Diceros bicornis minor: one gene and its partner. The main gene of each other region encodes a partner of the protein of the gene in region 2 in a complex. Links are inferred from orthologs where the notes say so. Each region holds a gene or a part of one and is shown on either strand. Other genes may lie near its edges.

Region 1 (10,484 bases), on a different chromosome or scaffold from region 2:
TTGTGTCCAGGCCATTTGGTTTTCGCCTCCCAGTACAGATTATATCTCATTGTGAATATTAGCTGCCCTCTAATCTTATCCATATATAATTCCTCTAGTTTTTAGACTTATTACTATAATATTTGAGATTAGTGTAGATCTGTCTGATCATGTTTTTTAACCAACAGCCAAAATAGGGCCAAAAGGAACAAAGATGCCAAAGATCACTAGGGACCCAATGGCAAAGCCAGGTATAAGCAAGTGTCCTCACTAAAATATATGTCTAAGACTGATATTGATCAGAATGAAGTCTCTTGGGCACTCAGATGTAACTGATGAAATGCCCAAGTGATAAGTTTCTTTTCTTGTTTTCAGCTTGATGGCTGCAGGTCAGTGGTTCTCAAACTGTTGTGTATGTCACAGTCTTACCTGGGGAGCTTTTTAAAAATATAGTTGCTGGGCCCCATTTCACATCTGTGCCAGAATCACTGCGGTAGGGCTTGGGCTGCTGTCTTATTAACAAATTCCTGGGCCGGCCCCGTGGCTTGGCGGTTGGGTGCACGGCGCTCTGCTGCTGGCGGCCCGGGTTTGGATCCCGGGTGCTCACCGACGCACCGCTTGTCCGGCCATGCTGGGGCCGCGTCCCACATACAGCAGCTAGAAGGATGTGCAGCTATGACATACAACTATCTACTGGGGCTTTGGGGGAAAAAAAAATTCCTGAGATGATTTTGTTTCATTCCAAATTTGCTTCTCCTCGTTCTTCATTATATTCTCTTCCCCATTCTCCACTTCCTACTCTCTTTTCCATTCCCCATTCTCCATGGCCTTTCCTCATTAAATATTTATTGAGTGCCTACTAGAGGCCAGGCACAGAGTTCTATGGGCTGGGGTAGAGCAGCGAACATGACAAAACAAAGCCCCTGTCCTGATGGAGACAGAAAATGAACACATAAACAAATAAATAAGAGCCAGTGCAGCACAGTGATTAAGAGCTTGGCTAAGTCAAAACAAATGTAGATTGACACATGGTTCTTCCTCTTCCTAGCTGTGCGACCTTGGGCAAGTTACTTAATTGCTCAACAGTCTCTTCCTCTATAAAATGGGACTAATAATATTCCCTGCCTCTCAGAGCTGTTGTAAGGATTGAATAAGATAATGCACATAAAGTACTCAGCACAGTGCCCGGTACATTGTCCGAAGTCGGTTAACTCATTATTTTGCAAGCATCAGCATTATAAAGTTTAATTACTTCTCCAATATTGCCATCAATATGTTATATTAAGTTCAGCTTCTGTGTTTATTCAACATTCAACAATGTTTTAGAGATGTCCATGTATCTCTAAAAATTTCCCCCTGCACAGTTGCTAGTTTCCTGGGCAGTTTCTGTACCATACCAAGCTTCAAATTGCTAAAAGGGAGAGACATCAACAACATAGTCCACCAAGGCTCCCAGCACCTCGTTTACGTACCTGAGTAGCTCCATGGCTGGACAGAGTTAAGAATGCTATAAAACCTCACTGATACACTAAGTTAAAAAACAAACAACAACAACAAAAACTAAGTAGAAGAGCATAGGCGACAAACACTGAGAGCCAACATTAGCAGGGGGATCAATCAGATGATATGGCAGTTAAAGGATACATAAAAAAAAATAACTGTCCTTCGTATTTGTTGGCGCAAGAACATTCACATACATCATTATCTGTCCTTGGGCCCCATAACAACTTTGCAAGTAATATTAATCTCATTTGACTGATGTGTAAACTAAGGCTCAGAGAAGTCAAATGAATAGCCCAAGGTCACTCTGCTAGTTAGTGGCAGGTCAGTGATTCAAACCCATGTCTCCTGACACTTATGCAGTGTGTTGTACAAATAAATAGCATTTTATTTTTTTCACAGAAACATTTTAAATGCTTAATCTACCCACTTTAAAAATAAAGAATAAGAAATATAAAAAGTATCCAATATACAAAATGCAAATAGTCTTCAGTTCCATATAAGTGACATTTACTTTTTTTTTGCACTGATCGTGGCTGTAATTTTCCATTTGCTTATGTGATTACTTGATTAAGCTCTGTCTCTGCCGCTCTACCAAAATGGACCATGTCCGTTTTTATCTAACACCTAGTAGGTGATCAATATGTACTTGATGAATGAATGAATGAATGATCCACTGGTGTGGATTATAGCCAGAAGGGGGGTCATAGGCATGTAGGTGAATTTAGTCTTTGGTTTAGGCAGAAGCAGAAATGCCAGCACTATCTTACACGGAGACACTGATGACGGGAAAAGGAATTACTTTTTAATTGCTGGAGAGGATGAATTTGCTTGTATTGGACTTAGCAATTTGAGCTCAAGGACAGGGCTGATCTAAGTAGAGCAGATGCAGTTGCTAAGCAGTTGTTTACAGAGTAGTGAAAGTAGAGAGACTGTATCAATTCTACAAACAAGAAGGGACGGTTTCTTAATGTGTGTTCCTCAACCCAACTGCATCAGAGTATCTGGGCAGTTTAAGAAGGCAGATTCCTGGACCCAGACCTTCAGAATCCCCAGCGCGTGGTGCCAAAATATCTGCATTTTTAACAAGCTCCCCAGGTAATTCTCCCTTCCAAAGTTTAAGAACTGCTGGGCTGGAGTAACAACAGACCAGCAGAGGGTCTAAGACCCTGTCTAGGGAAAAGACTGCATTATAAAGCGAGAAGAAAGGAAACCTACAAAAGAGACTGCAATAGCAGCCAGCGAGCCAGAGTCAGAGGCCTTGTTATGAGCCAAGGAAGGTGAAAATTAAGAACAAGTAAATGGCCAAGAGCGCCAAATGTAACAGAGAGGTCAAGAATGAAGATGGAGAAAAGTCATGAAGATGGAATCCAGATTTTTCTGGTCCTGGACCTGTTCTTCAAGACTGAACTCAAAACATTTCCTCCATAGGGATGTATTCCTGCTCCTCTGGACAGAGTCCATCTTTGTGGTATGTAATTCTGGTATAGCATTTCACCTATTGTACTGAAATTCTGTTTTTCTTCCTCCTTAGACATACCTGTTTTTCTTCCTCATTAGACTGAGAATTCCTTGAAGGCAGGAACTGTGTCTTGTTCCTTTTCAAATCACCAGGGTCTGGCATAATACCTGGCATACAGAAAATATCTGCAATTGCCTGCTGAATGAGTGATTGGAGAGCAATTGGAGGCAAAGAGCACAGTCTGGCAGTGAAGATAGAGGAATCCTATGTGTCTGAAGGCAAATGAGAGCAGGGCAGTCGATGCTGCTGGAACAGGGAATAAGCAGGGAATCAGTTCCTCCAGAGCACAGAAGAGATGTGATTAAAACCACAGCTTTAGCTTTAAAAAGCAGGAAGGACCATTCTTTCTCTGAGTCTTGAAGGAAGCAAGAGAGGATGGGTGTACAAGATAAAGTAGCTTAGCTCATGTGGCCCTACTCTAAATAAGTCAAGAAGTTAAGGCCTTTGCTGAGAGTGAGGTACAAAAAGCGGGATCTAGAGCCTGAAGAAACAGACTGGAATAGTACTGGTGGGAGTGTACTGGTGAATCAATAAGAGATTAAGAAATCCTAGGCTATATCCTCAAGCATGGTTAAGAGCATGTTATCACAATCTGACTGCTTTCTGTAGCCCTTGAAATAACTGGCTGCATCTATCAGTTATGCTAATTGGAACTGGCTGCCAGACCTGGGGCCTGAAACTAACTGGAGTCACGGACCTCTTCCTCTCCTGAACTCTCCTTGCACTTCCTTTCCACTTTTTACGACACTCACCACAGTCCATCTCCTATCATAGCTATTTGTCTTTTCCTTGCTAGACTTTAAATAGTTGAGGGCAAAGGCTGTGTCTTATTCACTGTTGTGTTGTACCTGAGCATACTGCTTTGTAGATAATAGGCAGAGGCTGTCTGTCTCAGGCACACACCTCTAATATAGCATTTATCATACTGTATTTGTTTGCTTGTCTGTTTCCCTTTTCAGACCATGAGCTCAAGGTCAGGGATTGAGTTGATCTATGTCTCTCTCGTGTTTGGAACTTAGTACTTTCACAGATGTTTATTGAATCCAATTTTGTTGAAATGAATGCATGGAGGAGAGAATAAAAAAAAGATAGCAAAATGTGGGGATTTGGGGGGACATCTAAAGAGATGGCATACTGCACAGGCACTCCATTTTGTCACTCGTGTCACACACAATCATTGGTCTCATCCTGACATCAGTAAGTGTGTAAAGCTGGTGGAAATTGAGGCTGGGGGACCTGTTTTCAAATACACTGTAAATGTTTGGAATACACATTCTGGATCTTCTTATGTAAATCTCCAGCTACTCCCTTTCGTGGTACAGGGCCTGCGTGAAAGGGCTAAGGGTCCCGTGGAGCTAAACGACTGCTTTGTCCACGCTTATTAGGTACCTGTTTGTATGGGATACAATGTTACATCGACATGGTCACTGTCTTCCTGAGGATGACAATTTAAGGTTGACATAGCAGGGAAAAATAAAAAGAAAGATGAAACGGCATAGAAACAGCATTGGATCAAAACAATGGAAATCCCCCCCACCCCCTTTACAGGAAAAGTAGCTACTTTAAGGACATCTTTAAATTTTCATTAGTTTGTTAGGGCTTTTTTTTTTTTTAAAACCATTGGCTTGCAGTCTGTGAGCCCAGTAGAAAAATAACAACATCTGACCCTTACATGGGGCACACTATGTGCCCAAGCATTAGTCTATGTGATTTAGATATATTAACTCATTTCTCTTAACTCTATGAGATTGATAGCATTGTGATCTCCATTTTGGATGTGCTGAAATTGAGGGACAGAGAGGTAATGCGACGTGCTCAAGGTCATAGAGCTAGAAGTGGGGGAGCTGGGATTCAAACCCAAGCAGTCTGGCTCCATACATCAAAGAGGAAAGCGCCCGTTTCGGTGTCTGATTTACCTCTGTGAGTTATAAAGAAAATCACTTATCTTTTCTGATTATGATAATCTCAGCATTTATAGAGGGCCTGTTATATGCCAGGGACGCTAATACATGCTTTACTTGCATCATCTCATTTCTTCCTCACAATAAACCCGTGAGATACTATTTTTATCCCCATTTTAAAGATACAAAAAATTTAAGGTGCAGAGATTAGAACGATTCGCCCAAGGACTGAAATCCAGGCAGAGTGACTCTACTACGAGCTCAGTCTTTCCTGGCAGTAAAATGAGAGAACGGAGGACCTCAAAGGGATGCCACGAGAGTACAATGAAATAATGGATGTGCAAAGGCCTCGGTGAACAAGTGCAAGGGATAAGGCCTACCCGTTTGAATCACTGTTGAAAACTGGTTCCCCAGGGCCCCTGTCCAACGGTTTCTAGTTCCAACCCTGCCCCTTCTCCGCCCAACCCACAGCGATATCTTTGAATCTCTTTCTCTATCTCCTCGGATCCTGCCCCCAAACACTTGGCTGAGCGGCGGACCGGAGAATAGAAGGTACGCGCGCGAGCAGGAGGCGGGGCCTACCTCCCGGATCCGTACTGGGGGCGGCCTCTGCACATGCGCCGTTGCTCTGCGGCGTCAGTTGCCCCTTCCCTACAGCCAATCAGGGCTCGCGGCGCGCTCGGGACGTATTAACGCCGTGTGAGTCGTTGCGTGCGAGGGGGGCGACGTAAGGGCGCTCGGCGAGCCCGTCTCTCCTCGAATGAAAGGAAACAACCTCCGGCGACAGAGCCCCGCTCCCAGGCGCTGCCGGAGAACCGAGACCGACTTCTTTCTCTTTCCCCTCATTGGCGCTTCTCCCTTGCCGTTCGCCTCTGGGCCCCGCCGGTGAGTCCCCACAGTACACTGGGGCCCCCCATTCTCTGCCCGGCGGGAGAAGACAAGGAGGATGGCGGTGGCCAGGCCGCCGCCCCTGCCCGTTGTTAAGGGGGACTCTTGGTGGTCTCGCTTTATTGTCAGAGACCCCAGAAGCACCGCTCATTGAAGGCGCTTGGCAAAGAGGCTGCTGAGAAAAGTGCTTTGGAGGAGCTAAAGGAGAGGTTAGGCTTAAGCCTAGACTTCGGGGGAGGGGGCGCAACATTTAGGGAGGAAAAAATCCTGGGGATTTTTAGTCTTTGCCATTGCTTAGGACATATTTGGGAAGGAGGGAGACTCCCAGTTTGGGAAAAGTAAGAGGAAGAATTGTTAGGATGGCAAGAGGGTTAGCCTTACGGAATGAGGAAAAACTCCGGGGTGGGGGGAATGAGGGGTGAAACTGAGATATGAAACGAAGACTATTAGAGGGCGAACTCCTGGGGGAGGGTTAAAGAAAGTGGTAGGATGATGTTTTCCTGGATTCGGGAGCATTGGAAAAGGACAATTAGGGGACCCTGACTTTACGATCGAAAGGAACCTGCTAAAGTGTTTTAGAGAAGATAGTTTTGCGAGTTTAGCGCTTGATTAGAGGGAGATCTTGGAGTCTAGTGTGTTTTGAGGAATAAATAACGGAGAGGATCTGGTACGTTATGTGTACCATCCTTTATTATATGGACGAACAGCACGACATTCTTTTGAAATTTGTTCGTTTCGATATTCTGCGTGGAACTTGAAAAATCCTTTATTTTTGAAAAGCCTTTTCTTTTCATCGGCTTACTACGTAATATCAGGTCTTATTCATACAGTTCAAATTCTTTCTCTACCCTTGGGTTTTTGAAACAACTGGAAAATTCCTTCAGTTTCCTTTTGAATAACCGCAAAAAGCAGTGCGAAGCATGTAATATTATCGTGCAACCAAATTCAGGTGCCCTTCCGGTTCATCTCTTATTCGTTTATTTCTCTCCACTGTAACTTTCCTGACAGAAATACTGCTTGTTTGGGGATCACGTTTATAAATTTTGATCTGTATATTTCAACTTGCTTGCGTGTGGAACTGTTTGATCTTCCGGAACTGCAGTTTTTGTTTTGTTTTGTTTTGTTTTCCTGTGAAAAATGGTGTTTCAGATACCAGGCATTGAATGAGCTCTCGAGTGTGTTCTTGAATGCTCTCCTTGATGTTTCAGGTTATTTCTACCTTGGTGCTTCACAGCATCTTGGAAAATCAGAAACGTGTTGATCGCTTCAGCCTAACCGAGCTTTTGTATTTTTTCAGACATTTAAATTATGTTTTTCACGCTATCTTTGCCTCTTTATTTCTGCTTTATAACATTATCCGTAATGTTGTGTTTCTTTTAAGGAAAAGGTTTTATTGTTGGGTGAAAGCATCAAACTTTGATCTCTGCATGCCCTGAAAAACCTTTTAGACTGAAATTAAAATGCCATATTGAATCATTATGAACCCCTTAATATTGGTCCTTGGAATGCCCTTATTCTCCTTAACGAGAGACCACAAATGTGACAGCATTAGATAAAAATCTGTATTTTTATGATAAAGACATTTTTGCTAGGAGTCATTGTTTCCATGATGTTCTCCACTTCATGTTTTACAAGGAGGCTGTAAAAAAATTAGCAAGATATGCACAGATGCATTATTTGAATTTTAGTGGAAAAATCCATTTAGTCATTACACATTGAGGAAAGTTTTTAATTCGTTTGGTGCACTTTTTTGTGTTTCTGTTCACTTTACAAATTATATTTAAACTAATTACAGAAAGAAAGAACACTAGAATATTTTTTGAGTGCAAAATAAACTGTACCTTTTTTCTCTTTTAGATTTTGGGGTCGTTGATACTCAGAAAAGCAGGTTCTCAAAATTAGGATGAGAAATTTACCTGTTTATAAATTGAAAAGAGGCAGAATTCAATATGGATAGAATTTTGGGGGTACCATTTTCAGAATTAATTTCAAGAATAAAAAATGATTTTCTACTGTAGCAATTTTCTTTATCTTAAGCCGGTTTTATAGCCCGTCTAGGATTGTAGAGATATTACACTATTAAAGATGTCTGTATAGGTTAGATTCATAATGTGCCATCCTTTCAGCTGGCCAAGGATGTCCCAGAAAGATGCTGGATACATTACAGTGGTTTCAGAGTGCTTACTATTCATTGCATGGTAGTAAAGAAGGCTAATTTAGAACTCAAATAGCAAATTTTGGTGCTATTTATGAATTTTGGTGTTTTGCATAGTTAATTCTAAAGATTTTGGCAGCTATATTCTTGATAAAGCAACTGAACACATATTTGCCTGAGCAAATGCAAACACAACACACTTCCCCTTTTGTTTCTTTTGTTTCTCTGTTATGTCTTTTTTTTTCTTTAATCCTAAAAGTATTTGCTGCCTGTTTTCAATCAGTTTCACGGTTTATAGCCGGTGCTATGAATACAGTACTGTTGTAAAGTCTCCAATGCCATTTGGAAAACTGAGGTATTTAAAATTGTAGACAGCGTTAAGTTTGTTAAACCCATGAACGCAGAGACTGTCAGGGCCTTTGAAGTTTCGTTAAAAAGAAAAACTGAGATATCAGTTGATGAGAAGACCTGTTTCTTTGTGACTTCATGTTAAATTTTAATTATCTACATTTTTATATTATAAAGCGCTGAATGGTTTACAGCTACCACCTTGCTGGCATCCAGCTGCTACTGTTCTTGTTGGTGAACAAGTGCTACTCAGAAAGCTACAATGTAGCGTTAGTGAGTCCATATTTTCAACATAGTATTATGAAAATGTTCAAATATATGGAAACATGGAAGGAATTTAGTAAATTTTAAGACAAAAATTTGAGATTTTATTGATTGTAATGCGTGTTGTGGCAACCTGGGTCCTGAACTGCATAGTACTGTTGATTTGGGAAAACTACACAAATCAAATTTTATATTTTTTTAGATTCTTCTGAAGAATCCATGTTGAGAATGATGATCTAAATCTGAAACCTTCCATGTTAGAGCTTTTCTTCCCTTTTTTTGTTTGACTATACCACCTATAATTATAATTTGACTAAATTTAAGGCTCATTCAGAGAAATTTTCCTTCCTTTATACAATATTACTAATTTAAGTATGAAAGTGACTGCATTTAGAACACTACTCTTAATTTGTAACTTTAGTTTGATAAACTGATTCTCGGAGGAAATCGCAGTCAGATAATATAGTTGTTTTTATAAATAATTGATTCCTAAAGTCGATGCTTTTGAATAGACTGTTATAAGCTTATTTTTGTCTTTACATGAAAAAGGAATACAATAGCAAAAATTAATTTATTAAAGACTTATACGTGATTTTTTTTTTAACTTGAGAATAATTCGAGTTTTAAAAATAAGTGTTCCAAAGTCATGGTTAAGTAAATTCATTTCTCTTTTGTTAGTTAATTAATATGTGAACTTTGAGGAATTATGCAATTATAGAATTTTGTTCACTCTGGATATTGTGTAGTTCCCTTAGTAGTTTTTGCTCTGCTCTTAGGTATATAATTCTTTGTCTCCTTGAAGGGGCACTTAGCTATATGTGAAAAATATTTTTCATTAATTATGTCAGCAGATGATTGTTTTAATATCATACATTGTACATTTTTTATTTATCTACGCAGAAATAGTTCTAATTATTTTATGTATCCCCTAATTTGGGAGCAGTTTGATTTTTTCCCATTACTTCATTAACTTATCTTTATGCATACATACATATTTTTCTATTTTGGAGGCATCTTAGGTTTAAATATTAATTTGTCTATACTAAATAGCCATTTTAAAATGCATATATTAAAACTTAGGTCAAATATTAACTTACATGACTATGTGTAAACTGGTTTTAAAACAAAATTAACCATTTTGTTGCCCTTCTTATTCTCTGTAGCATTTCTTGAGGCTTAAAGTGGCATTCTAAAGGCAATTTAAAAATCATGTCAAGCTCAGTTGAACAGAAAAAGGGGCCTACAAGACAGCGCAAATGTGGCTTTTGTAAGTCAAATAGAGACAAGGAATGTGGACAGTTGCTAATATCTGAGAACCAGAAGGTGGCAGCACACCATAAGTGCATGGTAAGTAAATGGGCAGCGGCCAAGAGACCTGAAACCGTGAGACTCTTAACAATGAATATTCCTGAATAGGAAAAAACAACTCAGTTAAATTTTTAAGAAATGGTTTCTCACTAATGCTATGCCATTTTTACTAGAAAATTTCCTTTAGATTTAACATCTTACTCATTGTTTCACTGTAATTTCTTTATATATGAACCTTAATTTTTTTTAAATGTAATTTATAGCTCTTTTCATCTGCTTTGGTATCATCACACTCTGATAACGAAAGTCTTGGTGGATTTTCTATTGAAGATGTCCAAAAGGAAATTAAAAGAGGCACGAAGCTGGTAAGTTGGTATTTCTGCCTCTTGAGAATAAAACTTATTTTAAGCTCATTAAGGAGGAAATTGCTTATTTTAGAGTGTATTGCATTATTAGCTGAGTATAATTTTAAATTGCAGTCTTTTTTTTTTTTTTTCATGAACCCGCAAATTCCAAGGCTGGGTTTAACTTATTTACCACTCAAGAAAAAAGGAGTGAATCAATATTTATATTACTCAAATATTTTTCTTTTCAAAAAGAATTAAAATCTTTTTGGAGG
Region 2 (10,560 bases):
AAACTATTAAGACATCAACAACAACAACAAAAAACAAAAAAACTCTTCAACAAAGAGATTCGGAGAACATCTGGACTGGTGAACTTATCAGGTGCTGGGAGGATGAAAAGCCCAGGGAAGGCATGGAAGCTCCAAGCCCCTCCTCTGGTATCTTGCCCTATGCATCTCCTCTATGTGGCTGTTCCTGAGTTGTAGCCCTTATAATAAACTGGTAAACATAAGTAAGGTGTTTATCTGAGTTCTGTGAGTTGTTCTAGCAAATTATTGAACCTGAGCCTCATTGGGGGGTCACGGGAACACCAGAATTTGCAGTTGGCAAGGCAGATGTGTGGGTAGTCTGGGTACTCCATTTGGGGCTGGTGTCTGAAGTAGGAGCAGTCTTGTGGGACTGAGTCCTTAACCTGTGGTGTCTGTGCTAACTCTGGGTGTCAGAACTGAATTGCTGGACACCCAGCTGGTGTCAGAGAACTGAAGAATTGCTTGCTGTGGACAAACCACACATTTAGTGCCAGAAGTGGTGTCAGAGGAAAGAAAACACACCTTTATAATGTATATATTAATACAGTAGAACATACAAAAATTCAGAGTGTGCAATGAAAAAAGCTTGGAGATGACTGCTCAAGAGGATCAAATGAAAATTATACTAACTGTAAGAGAATTCATAGAGGCAGTGTAAAAACTTAATTATAAAATTCCACAGCTTTCACAAATATAATCAATAACCATAGAGAAAACATCATGGAAGAGAAGATCATTTACATCAGAAACAAAAAAGATGAAATACCTAGAAATAATCTTCTCGGGTTACACAAAATAATATATGAAAAATGGAAAAGCATACGTTATTCCTGGAGAAAAAGACTCATATAAATATCAAAGCTTTAATTCTCCCTGTTTATAATTAACATGACTGAAAAATACCAATAGCAATTTTTTGTCTGTGGTTTACTTTAAAGTAACAGGAAAGGAGGTGAAAAGCAGCAGAATATACCACCCCAAAATATGCCACTTTGGCACAAAGATTACTTTGAGCTGAAGACAAGTGAGGGAAGCAGATACAAAGAACTATTTGCCTAAAAGTAGGACATAAATTTGTAAAGGTGTTCCCCTTTGCCTCTGTATCAGCAAGGACAGAAATTAATCACCAGAGAAAAGTCTAGATCCTTATGCATCCAGAGTCAGCACCAGAGGAATCTATATAATAAACTTAGTAACAGCCCTTAGATTCCATTAGTTTCCCCACATATTTACCTTCCCACAATTTGCTGCCCTAGAAGTGCAAAGCGCTTTTCCTTTGTCTTGTCACTTCTCTACAAAATCACTGTGTTTGTTAAGATGCTATATAAGCTCAAGTTCTAAGCATCCCTTTGAGTTACTCATCACTGAGTACTCCTATGTGTATGTGTGTTGCCCATGTTAATAAACTTGTTTGTTATTCTCTAGTTAATCTGTCTTTTGTCAGTCTAATTTGTAGGGCCTCAGCCAATGAACCTAAGAAGGGTACAGGAAGTTTTTTTTCTTCCCCTACAGGGGAATATGGTGGTAGAGAGGAAAAAAGATAAGCCATTATTTGGTAATTGATGAAGCTGGGCAATATGCGCACAGAAGTCATCATACTATCTGCCTAGTTTTGTACATATTTGGAACTTTTAAAATAAAAAGTTTGGGGCCGGCTCGGTGGCGCAAGTGGTTAAGTGTGCGCGCTCCACTGCAGCAGCCCAGGGTTCGCCCGTTTGGATCCCGGGCGCGCACCAACGCACCGCTTGGCAAGCCATGCTGTGGCGGCGCCCCATATAAAGTAGAGGAAGGTGGGCATGGATGTCAGCCCATGGCCAGTCTTCCTCAGCAAAAACAGGAGGATTGGCAGATGTTAGCTCAGGACCGATCTTCCTCCCCCCCCCAAAAAATAATAATAATAAAATAAAATAAAAAGTTAAAAAAATACCAGTAGTGATTTTTACGGATCTGAGCAAGCTGATTTTTACCTACATATAGGAAAAAAAAAGCAAAAATGGCAGGAAAGGGGCAAGTACTGAGCAGAAGATTGTCCTACAGGATATTAAAAGATAGAATAAAGCCTCGATAATTAAATCTGTGGCACTGACACATGAAGAGAGAGAGAAGAAAAGAATAGAATAGTAAGTCTAGCTACAGACCTAAATATAGGCAGAGGAATTCTATACATGATAAAGATGTTGCATTTCAATCAAAGGGAAAAGACAGACTGTTGAATAAATGATGTTAGAACATCTGGTAAATCATCTGGAAAATAATTAAATTGGCTACTTAGTTTCTACCTTACCCTAATCCTGATGTACTCAAGATTTAAATGTTAAAAAAACACATAAATACTAGGAGCAAGAATAATCTATAACTACCAGGAAAAATATAGTTCTCACAAATATGAGCAAAAAAAGCCAAACACAAAAGGCATACATACTGTATGACTCCATTAATAAAATGTTCAAAAATAGACAAAGCTAATCTATGATGTTAGAAGTTAGGCTAATGCAGGGCCAGCCTGGTGACATAGTGGTTAAGTTTCACGCACTCCGCTTTGACAGCCTGGGGTTTGCAAATTCGGATCCCGGGTGTGGACCTACACCACTTGCCAAGCCATGCTGTGGCAGCCACCCACAAACAAAATGGAGGAAGACTGCCACAGATGTTAGCTCAGGACCACTCTTCCTCACCAAAAAAAAAAAAGAAGTTAGGCTACTGGGAGAAGTAGGGAGAGTGATGGTGATTGGAAAGGAGCATGAGAGGGGCTTCTGGGATGCTGTAATATTCTGTTTATAGATCTGGTTACTAGTTATACAGGTGTATTCAGTTTGTGAAAATTCACTTAGGATATGTGCACTCTTCTATAAATATATTATACTTCAATAAAACTTTTATTTTCAATGTAGTAAAAGAAAACACAGGAGAATTATTTTACAATCTCAGAGTGGGCAAGGCCTTCTTAAGTGTAACATCCCAGAAGCCATAAAAAGAGTTAATAAATTTCACTACATAAAAATAAATTTCTGTATAGTAAAGAAGACCAACAACCCAACAGAAAATAAAGACCATGAATATACACATGCCAGAAGGGAAAATACAAATAACTCCAAACATACTAAAATATGTTCAACCCCATTTATAATAAGAAAAACGCAATTAGTATGACAAGATACTTAAATTGGAAAAGACCAAAAAGTATAGTAAAACAGCAAATTGGTAAAATTGTGAGGAAAAAGGCAAACTCATACAATGCTAGTTGAGTATAAACTGGAGCAACCTCAATGGAGATTGGCAATAATTGTTGAAGTTAAAAATGCATATACTTGACAAAGCAATGTAACTTCTGGAAATTTATTCTACAGATACACTTGCACTTGTGCAAAACAATGGATGTACAAGTATATTCATTGCTGCATTGTTTCTAAGAGCAAAAGAGTAGAAATATCATAAACGTCCATCAACTGGAAATTGGTTAAACAAATTCAAGTAAATGCTAGAACATCTTTGCATGTACACTTAAGAAAATGGTAAGGATGGTTGATCTAGAGTGGAAAACTAGGTGGCAGGGGACCAGAGTTGAAAGACTGACTTTTCACTGCACACCTGTTGTACTTTTTGAATCTTGAATCATATATACCACCTATTAAAAACAAATTTTAAAAATTGTTTTAAGTGAGAGAAAAATGAGCTAGGGAGATATGCAGGGTCCAGCAAGTACGAGCCTAGTATGCTATGGTAAATAGTTGGACTCCATACAGAGGATAATGGGAGATTAGTGAAATATTTTAAGCGGGGAAATAAGAGTTCGATTTGTGCTCTCCCAACCACAGCCACCTTTAGGGATGACAACTTAACGTTTACATAGAACTTTAGATTCTGCACTATACTTTCATATTTATTATCTCATTTATTCCTCAGCTAAAGGAACTAAGATGCAGAGAGGTTATGCGATTTGCCTGCAGTCACTAAGCTAATAAATGGCAAAACCAGGTTTGGGTTTTTTTACTAACACACGATCCAGTTAAAATGCCATGTTAGAAGTTCCCTACTTGGCTCTCCGAGTCCTCGAACCTAGCCACACTCTTAACTATCCCACTGATGGAGATACATGGGGGCGACAAACCCGCAAACGCTTGAAAATATGATTATCTTCAGAATTAAGACACAAGTAAAACTCTCACAAGATACATGTGATTAAGCACATGTGGAAAAAGTTCAAGAGACTGTAAACGTGGGAGCCAAGGTGTCCCAACTCTTAGACCAGGTGGCTTTTTCCTTCAGCATCCCCCAAATAAGCACAAGAAACTACAATACAGGGCGAAATGGGACCATGCCTGAAGCACCTTCTGGGGCAAAGTAGAAGGCGAGGCCGGAAGCCCCGGGCAAGGAGAGGGGATGAGAGAAGTCAGCCACCTACTCACACTCGTACTTCCGATTGACTGGAGGATACTTAGCCTTGATCGCCTTCTGCTCCTCAGTCAAGTTGTAATCTCTAATATCTTCCCCTTCCTGCGCCATGATTGCAGCATTAGACACTCTCCTTCCGCCCTTCATCAGCCGGACTTCGGCCCTGACATACAACTTCCGCTCTAGACTCCGCCCCTAGGCACAGACCCTTAAAGAACCAGGACTCCGTTCTCGGGGACGTACTTTTATACCCTAAGACTTCTGTCTGAGGCTCCGCCGCCTGGAGCACATGCTTAAAAGGCCAAGGCCCCATTTTCTGCGCTGGCTTCATCCATAGTTTTTTCCTAAGGACTAAGGCAATAAATTGGAGGAGTCAGGAGTAGGGGACACTTGAATTAGACACCCCTAGGTTTGAGTGATAGAGGCCTTTTCTCGCCGCCTCACCCCGAGTTCATAACTAGACCTGAAAGCACCCTAGACTTCTTATTTGAGTACTTTGAAAGGGTCCTCAGCTTAACAGCCTTTAAGAAAATGGCTGCCCCCAAGGGAGTGCGGACTAAAACTCTCACGTGACCCCAGGCAGGCGCACTCCCACCAGCCCCGCGCGCGCGCGCGCGCGCGCGATCGAAAGAAGTCGGCTCCGGGCCGTGTGGGGGCAGGGGCGGAGCGCGCGCCTTGGCCCCCTCGAAAAGCGACTCCGCGCGTCTGGATAGGCTGCGAACACGGCTTCCCCGCCCACCTCGCCGTTCGGCGCGCTCCGATTGGTCAGTGTTGGCGCGAAGGTGCGCGAGTCGGCCCTCACGCAGGGGCAGCAGGAAACAATAGAGGCCGCGCGCGCAGAGCGAGCGCCCGCTGCCTCCCCGCCCCTCCGGCAACGCTCGACCCCGGGATCCCCGGCTCGCCTGTCCGCCATGGCCGACAAGGAAGGTGAGGGTGCCGGGGCCGCCCCAGGAGGGCAGGGGATGCCGGGCTTGCGCCGCGGCCTCGACACGGCCTAACAGCGAGGGCAGGCCCGACTCTGCCGAGTGCCGTCCCCACCATCGAAGGCGTGAGGAGGAATCGCCCCGCGGGGCGGGCTAACGGCGCGCCAGCTCCTCGGGAGCGGAGGCCCGTCGCAGCGGCGTGAAGCTGGCGGTGGGGGCCGCGGCGGCGGTTTGCTCCCTCCCCGCGCTCTGTGTCGGTCTGCCCGCTTCTCCAGGTGCTGCCGGCCGCGCTCCCTCCCCCGGGGGCCGGCGCTCGGGCCTCCTCACTGGGGCCGCAGATTGGCGCGTAGGGAGCGGTCTCCCGAGGCCCGGCGCCGTCGCCCGAGCGGCTAACGGAGCGTACGGCCGGGAGGACCCGAGCGCGGTTCCGGGCCCGCGAAGGTGTGGAGGCGTGTTGGTGCCTCCGCCTCGGGGGGATTTAGACACATCCCCCCATTTCAGAATCGGGACTCGGGCCGGTAGCTTTGGAAGTGTTAACTGAGTTTCCATTTGTGTTCGCTAACTTGATTTGTTTTTAACTTTTTAGCAGCCTTTGATGACGCAGTAGAAGAACGTGTGATCAACGAAGAGTACAAAATATGGAAAAAGAACACCCCTTTTCTTTACGATTTGGTGATGACCCACGCTCTGGAGTGGCCCAGCCTGACTGCACAGTGGCTTCCAGATGTAACCAGGTAATAGGAATGCCTTGAACGTTATTTTGTTGCGTCCTCAGTGTAGATTTCTCACGTTGATATACCCTGTTTTCTTCTCGCCAGTCGCCGGTAGAAGGCACGTGATCAAAACCTATTGGTGGCATCTTTTCTAGGCAAAATGTAAAGTTATTTTGTAACTTACCTGATAAGGGGAAAACGTGTCGATGTTTTCTGTTTCTGGTACTGAGTTGAGTAGCCATATTATAGCTAGTTGACCGGGTAATTAAAACATGTCAACTTTCATGAAGTATTGTGATGAATCCAGTTTTTTCAGCAAAACACTTGACTCTCTCATTGGTACTAGCTGGTTAATACAAAGATGAGTATAGACATGGTCCTGCCTTCAAGGAGCACACGTCTAGTTGGAAAGGCAGATATAAACTAATAATTACAGTTATATGTGCTAAGAGCAGTTTTAGAGAGATGCTTAGAACTAACACCTGAAGGAGGGGTGGTTTATGTGTATGGGAGTTTACATGATAAGAAGTTATAATCACTTGTATTTCTTACACATGGGTAGCTTACTTCTAATAGAAGATGTAAAATATTATTTAATTTAGTTTGCGTTTGTTCGGGGTCCACTAGGTGTCACATATCAGGGGGTATAAATTTAAGTAAGACGCCTGCCCTTGCCTTGACTGTGTGTGTATAAAATGTAACAGTAATTATCATGAGTGGCACAGATAAAATGATCAGAGAGAAGAAAAATTACCTCAACTTGGGGTATCGGGAAGGGCTTCCAGGAGGAAGTAACAATGCAAAGATGAAGGTGAATTTAGATAATATAAAGTTTTAGCAAAGCCAGTGTGCCTGTTGGAATGATGAATTTTCTAGTGTGAAACTGCTTCACTCTTCAGAATAACATTTAGAAATTAGATTGTGTGCTAAATAACTAAATTCACTCAAAACTCAGGTCTTCAGATGTCAAGATATTTGCAAAACATGGTTATTAGGCTATTCTTCAGCTCAACAAATAATAGAAATTTGATATAAATTTTATTGGTTAACTGAAGAATGAGGCAGTTACCTTCACAGTGACATTAAAGAAAATGGGGAAATCTATTCTAAGGGTGTTAAACAGAACTGTAATAAATACCTAGACACTTAGGGTTGGAAGCTTCTTTATCATGACCAGCGGTTCCCATATTCAACTGATCATCAGAATTACTTGAGTTTGGGGTAAGTGGAGTCATTTCTGTCAGTTCAGTGATAGTTCAAATGATTTAGGAACCTGTGGCAGAGTACTTGATGAGAAGTAGTTGAATGGTGATTCCAGATTTACTGTGATCATGTAATAAATTATGTATATTGGACCAGTGGATCCCAAATATTGGCCACCCCATACCTACTAAATCTGGAACCCGTGTTCTTAAAAAGCTTCCCATATAATGTAGTGATTAACTAGGTTTGGAAAGCAGTGAATTAGACTCAATTCCCCAAGGCTGGGATCTGCACTATCGTGTTAGTAGCTTTCTACTTTAGCTGATCTAGGTAAATAAACCTTTCTGCAATGTGTGACATTAGTCCAAATACCTTGCTTTTTTCCTTCCTTTTTTTGGTATTTCTACTCACCTAACAATGTTAATTTTTTTAAGATGAGACTTACTTATAAGCAAGTATCCCTAATGCCAGGTGTTTAGTTTTTTGTGTGTTTATGTGTATTTTCATATCTTTTGTAAAAACAAAACACAATTTTACTTCTATAATTCTCTTTTTCCCTACCTCACTTCCTTTGGTTCTTTGTTTAACCTGAGCGTAAGCATTTCTAATTTTCTGTTGACAGCCCACTTTTCTTTCCTCTACTTTTTCTATGTAGGATATATATGGCTGTTACCTCTCTGCAAAGGAATTCCTATTAGTATCTCTAGACCCAACTTCTGGGCTCTTCCTGAATTTTCAGGTGCCTACTGGTGTCTTTGCAGTATCTTATTGGCTTCCCCAACACATGTTCTAAACTGCATGTGTTCTTTCAGTGGAGGTCCCACCCCAACTTTCTCCCTGTCATAGTTGACTTTGGTTTGACGTTTCCTAGGTTTTTCCCTTTCTCCACTTGACAGTCCATTTATAAGCCCTGATGAATTCTACTTGTGTAGCATCACAATCAGATAGAGAGATTGTAAAACAGATTGTTGAGTTCCTCAAGTGCCCAACTCGAGTTTCTGATTCAGTAGGTCTCTACAGTGGGTCTGGGAATTTGCATTTCTAGCAAAAGTTCTGATGTGACGCTGATGCTGTTGGTCCTGATACCATACTTTAAAAACCTCTGCTTTACGCTGTTAGATTAATCCATCTGAGATAACTTAAATGGTGCTGTGTCCCTTAGAAATTTTCCATAGTCCTTTGTCCCCTACAGCATAGAGTCCAGAATTTCTTACGCTGGTATTCAATACCCTAGAGTCTGATTTTAATCTGCTTTCTAGCCTTTTCTCCCACTGTGTTTTCCCATATCCAAAGTCAGATTTGGACTTGAGTCCTAGTTCTGTTACTTAGTGGTTGTGTGATCTTAGGCAAGTTGTTTAATTTTCCTAAACCTCGAGTATTTTCATCTTTAAATTGCAGTAATACTTCATAGTGTTATTATGGTGTTTAAATGATAGAAGGTATGTGAAGTGCTTACCATAGTGTCTGGCACTTTGTCAACCTTCCCTTTTGCTCAAATCCCTTTCCTTGGAATACTGTCTTCCAAAGCTTGACCCAAACTTCCAGGTTTTATCTCTCATTTTGAGAACTGCTCAGGTATCACCTCTTCCATGAACACTTTCTTATTCCAGAAGTAATCTTTCTTATCTAAACTCTTACATTCTTGTGTACTTTTCATATACTATGTATTGACTTGTATTTTAATTGTTTTTGTACGTGACTGCCAAATTGCTCCTGATTTGGGGGTTTGTGGTGTTTTTTGTTTTTTTTTTTTTTTTTTTTGGTGAGGAAAATCAGCCCTGAGCTAACATCCGAGGCCAATCCTCCTCTTTTTTTTTTTGCTGAGGAAGATTGGCCCTGGGCCAACATCTGTGCCCATCTTCCTCTACTTTGTATGGGACACTGCCACAGCATGGCTTGACAACCGGTGCCTTGGTGCGCCCCCAGGATCCAAACCTGCGAACCCAGGGCTGCTGAAGCACTTAACTGCTTGTGCCACTGGACCGGGGTTTGTTTGTGGTTTTTTGTTTGTTTGTTTGTTTGTTTTTTGGTGAGGAAGATTGGCCCCAAGCTTAACATCTGTGCCAGTCTTCCTCTATTTTGTATGTGGGATGCTGCCACAGCATGGCTTGATGAGCGTTGTATAGGTCCGGGCCTGGGATCCAAACCTGCAAACCCCTGGCTGCCGAAGCAGAGTGTGCGAACTTAACCACTACGCCCCCAGGCTTGCCCCAACCCCTTGTTTTCTGAGAACAGGAATCACATCTTAATCTTCTTTGTTCTTCCATAGTGTTTGGAGCAATATGTCCATTGATTAGGCACTTAGTAAATACTTGAACAATTAGTTTACCTACTGTTACTTCCTTTCCTTTCCCTTTTAATGAAGTTAACCTAATGAATTAACGTCAAGTATTTGTGTACCCAACAATTGTTTTCTTTCCCTCCAATCCGTTGTAAAAGAGTGAGTAGTTAATCCACATTTTATTTCGTTAGACTTTTTCCCTAAAATAATTGTAAATTTTTGGCCAAGTTAAGAAATACTTAGAAAATTAAGTGCTATGTGGTCCTCCTTATACTCTGCTCTGTGGAAGATTCATTAAAAGTAGAAAATGTGGCTCATGATGACTTGCTTCTCTCAAAACCTGGTTGTAATAGTGCCTTTTGTATACATGTGTATCACAGACTTTGTAGTCTTTCTTAGTGTTACTAATTTGACTAGTGACCATATACCGCTATTACAGACCAGAAGGGAAGGATTTCAGCATTCATCGACTTGTCCTGGGGACACACACGTCGGATGAACAAAACCACCTTGTGATAGCCAGTGTGCAGCTCCCTAACGATGATGCTCAGTTTGATGCTTCACACTACGACAGTGAGAAAGGAGGTAGGAATCTTAAAGGTGAAAGAAGGAATAATGTATGGGTTATATCTTTCATACCTTTGAATTATCATAAAAAGGATGTATAGTTTGATAAAATAGCCTCTCAGGTTAGAAACAAAATTTTAAGCTTTGGAAAGCCCGAGTTTGCAGTATAGGTATTAGGTGTCAGAAGACATACTTAACACGTACTGGGTTCTGTACTTTTCTATAAACTTTCCTCTACTAAATTTGGTGGTGGGGTAATGTATAAAATTGAAAGAAGCAAAGAACCACCATATATTATTGCTGTGCATGCAAGCATTCTCAACATGGGAGATGTTGCCCCTAAGGGGGTGAAAATTGGTTCTTGGAGGGGGCGGTGTGTGTGTGAAAACAGTCTTATTCTTTGAATGTATAAAGCACAGATACACGTAGCATACATAGGCTCTCTTTGGTATTAAAATTTCTT

What was found.
Region 1: the proteins of RBBP4 (region 2) and PHF6 are in contact, whole or in part, in a crystal structure (PDB 4R7A), measured with the Homo sapiens proteins. The link is inferred for Diceros bicornis minor from reciprocal best matches to the Homo sapiens genes RBBP4 and PHF6. Residues at the interface, in NP_005601.1 of Homo sapiens: Ala39, Leu40, Glu41, Trp42, Pro43, Leu45, His71, Thr72, Ser73, Glu75, Glu126, Asn128, Arg129, Pro145, Glu179, Tyr181, Glu231, Asn277, Phe321, Lys376, Glu395, Asn397; in NP_001015877.1 of Homo sapiens: Arg163, Lys164, Gly165, Pro167, Arg168, Lys169, Thr170.

What each region holds. Positions count from the first base shown.
Region 1 is NC_080781.1:122,303,708-122,314,191, forward strand, and holds the start of PHF6 (PHD finger protein 6), read left to right. Parts: upstream 1-5,639; 5' UTR 5,640-5,787; intron 5,788-9,720; 5' UTR 9,721-9,766; coding exon 9,767-9,904; intron 9,905-10,128; coding exon 10,129-10,230; intron 10,231-10,484.
Region 2 is NC_080752.1:47,308,935-47,319,494, forward strand, and holds the start of RBBP4 (histone-binding protein RBBP4), read left to right. Parts: upstream 1-5,230; 5' UTR 5,231-5,321; coding exon 5,322-5,337; intron 5,338-5,919; coding exon 5,920-6,067; intron 6,068-9,969; coding exon 9,970-10,115; intron 10,116-10,560. Other genes in the region: ZBTB8OS (protein archease), read right to left, coding at 4,425-4,557. UniProt on the Homo sapiens protein: Core histone-binding subunit that may target chromatin assembly factors, chromatin remodeling factors and histone deacetylases to their histone substrates in a manner that is regulated by nucleosomal DNA.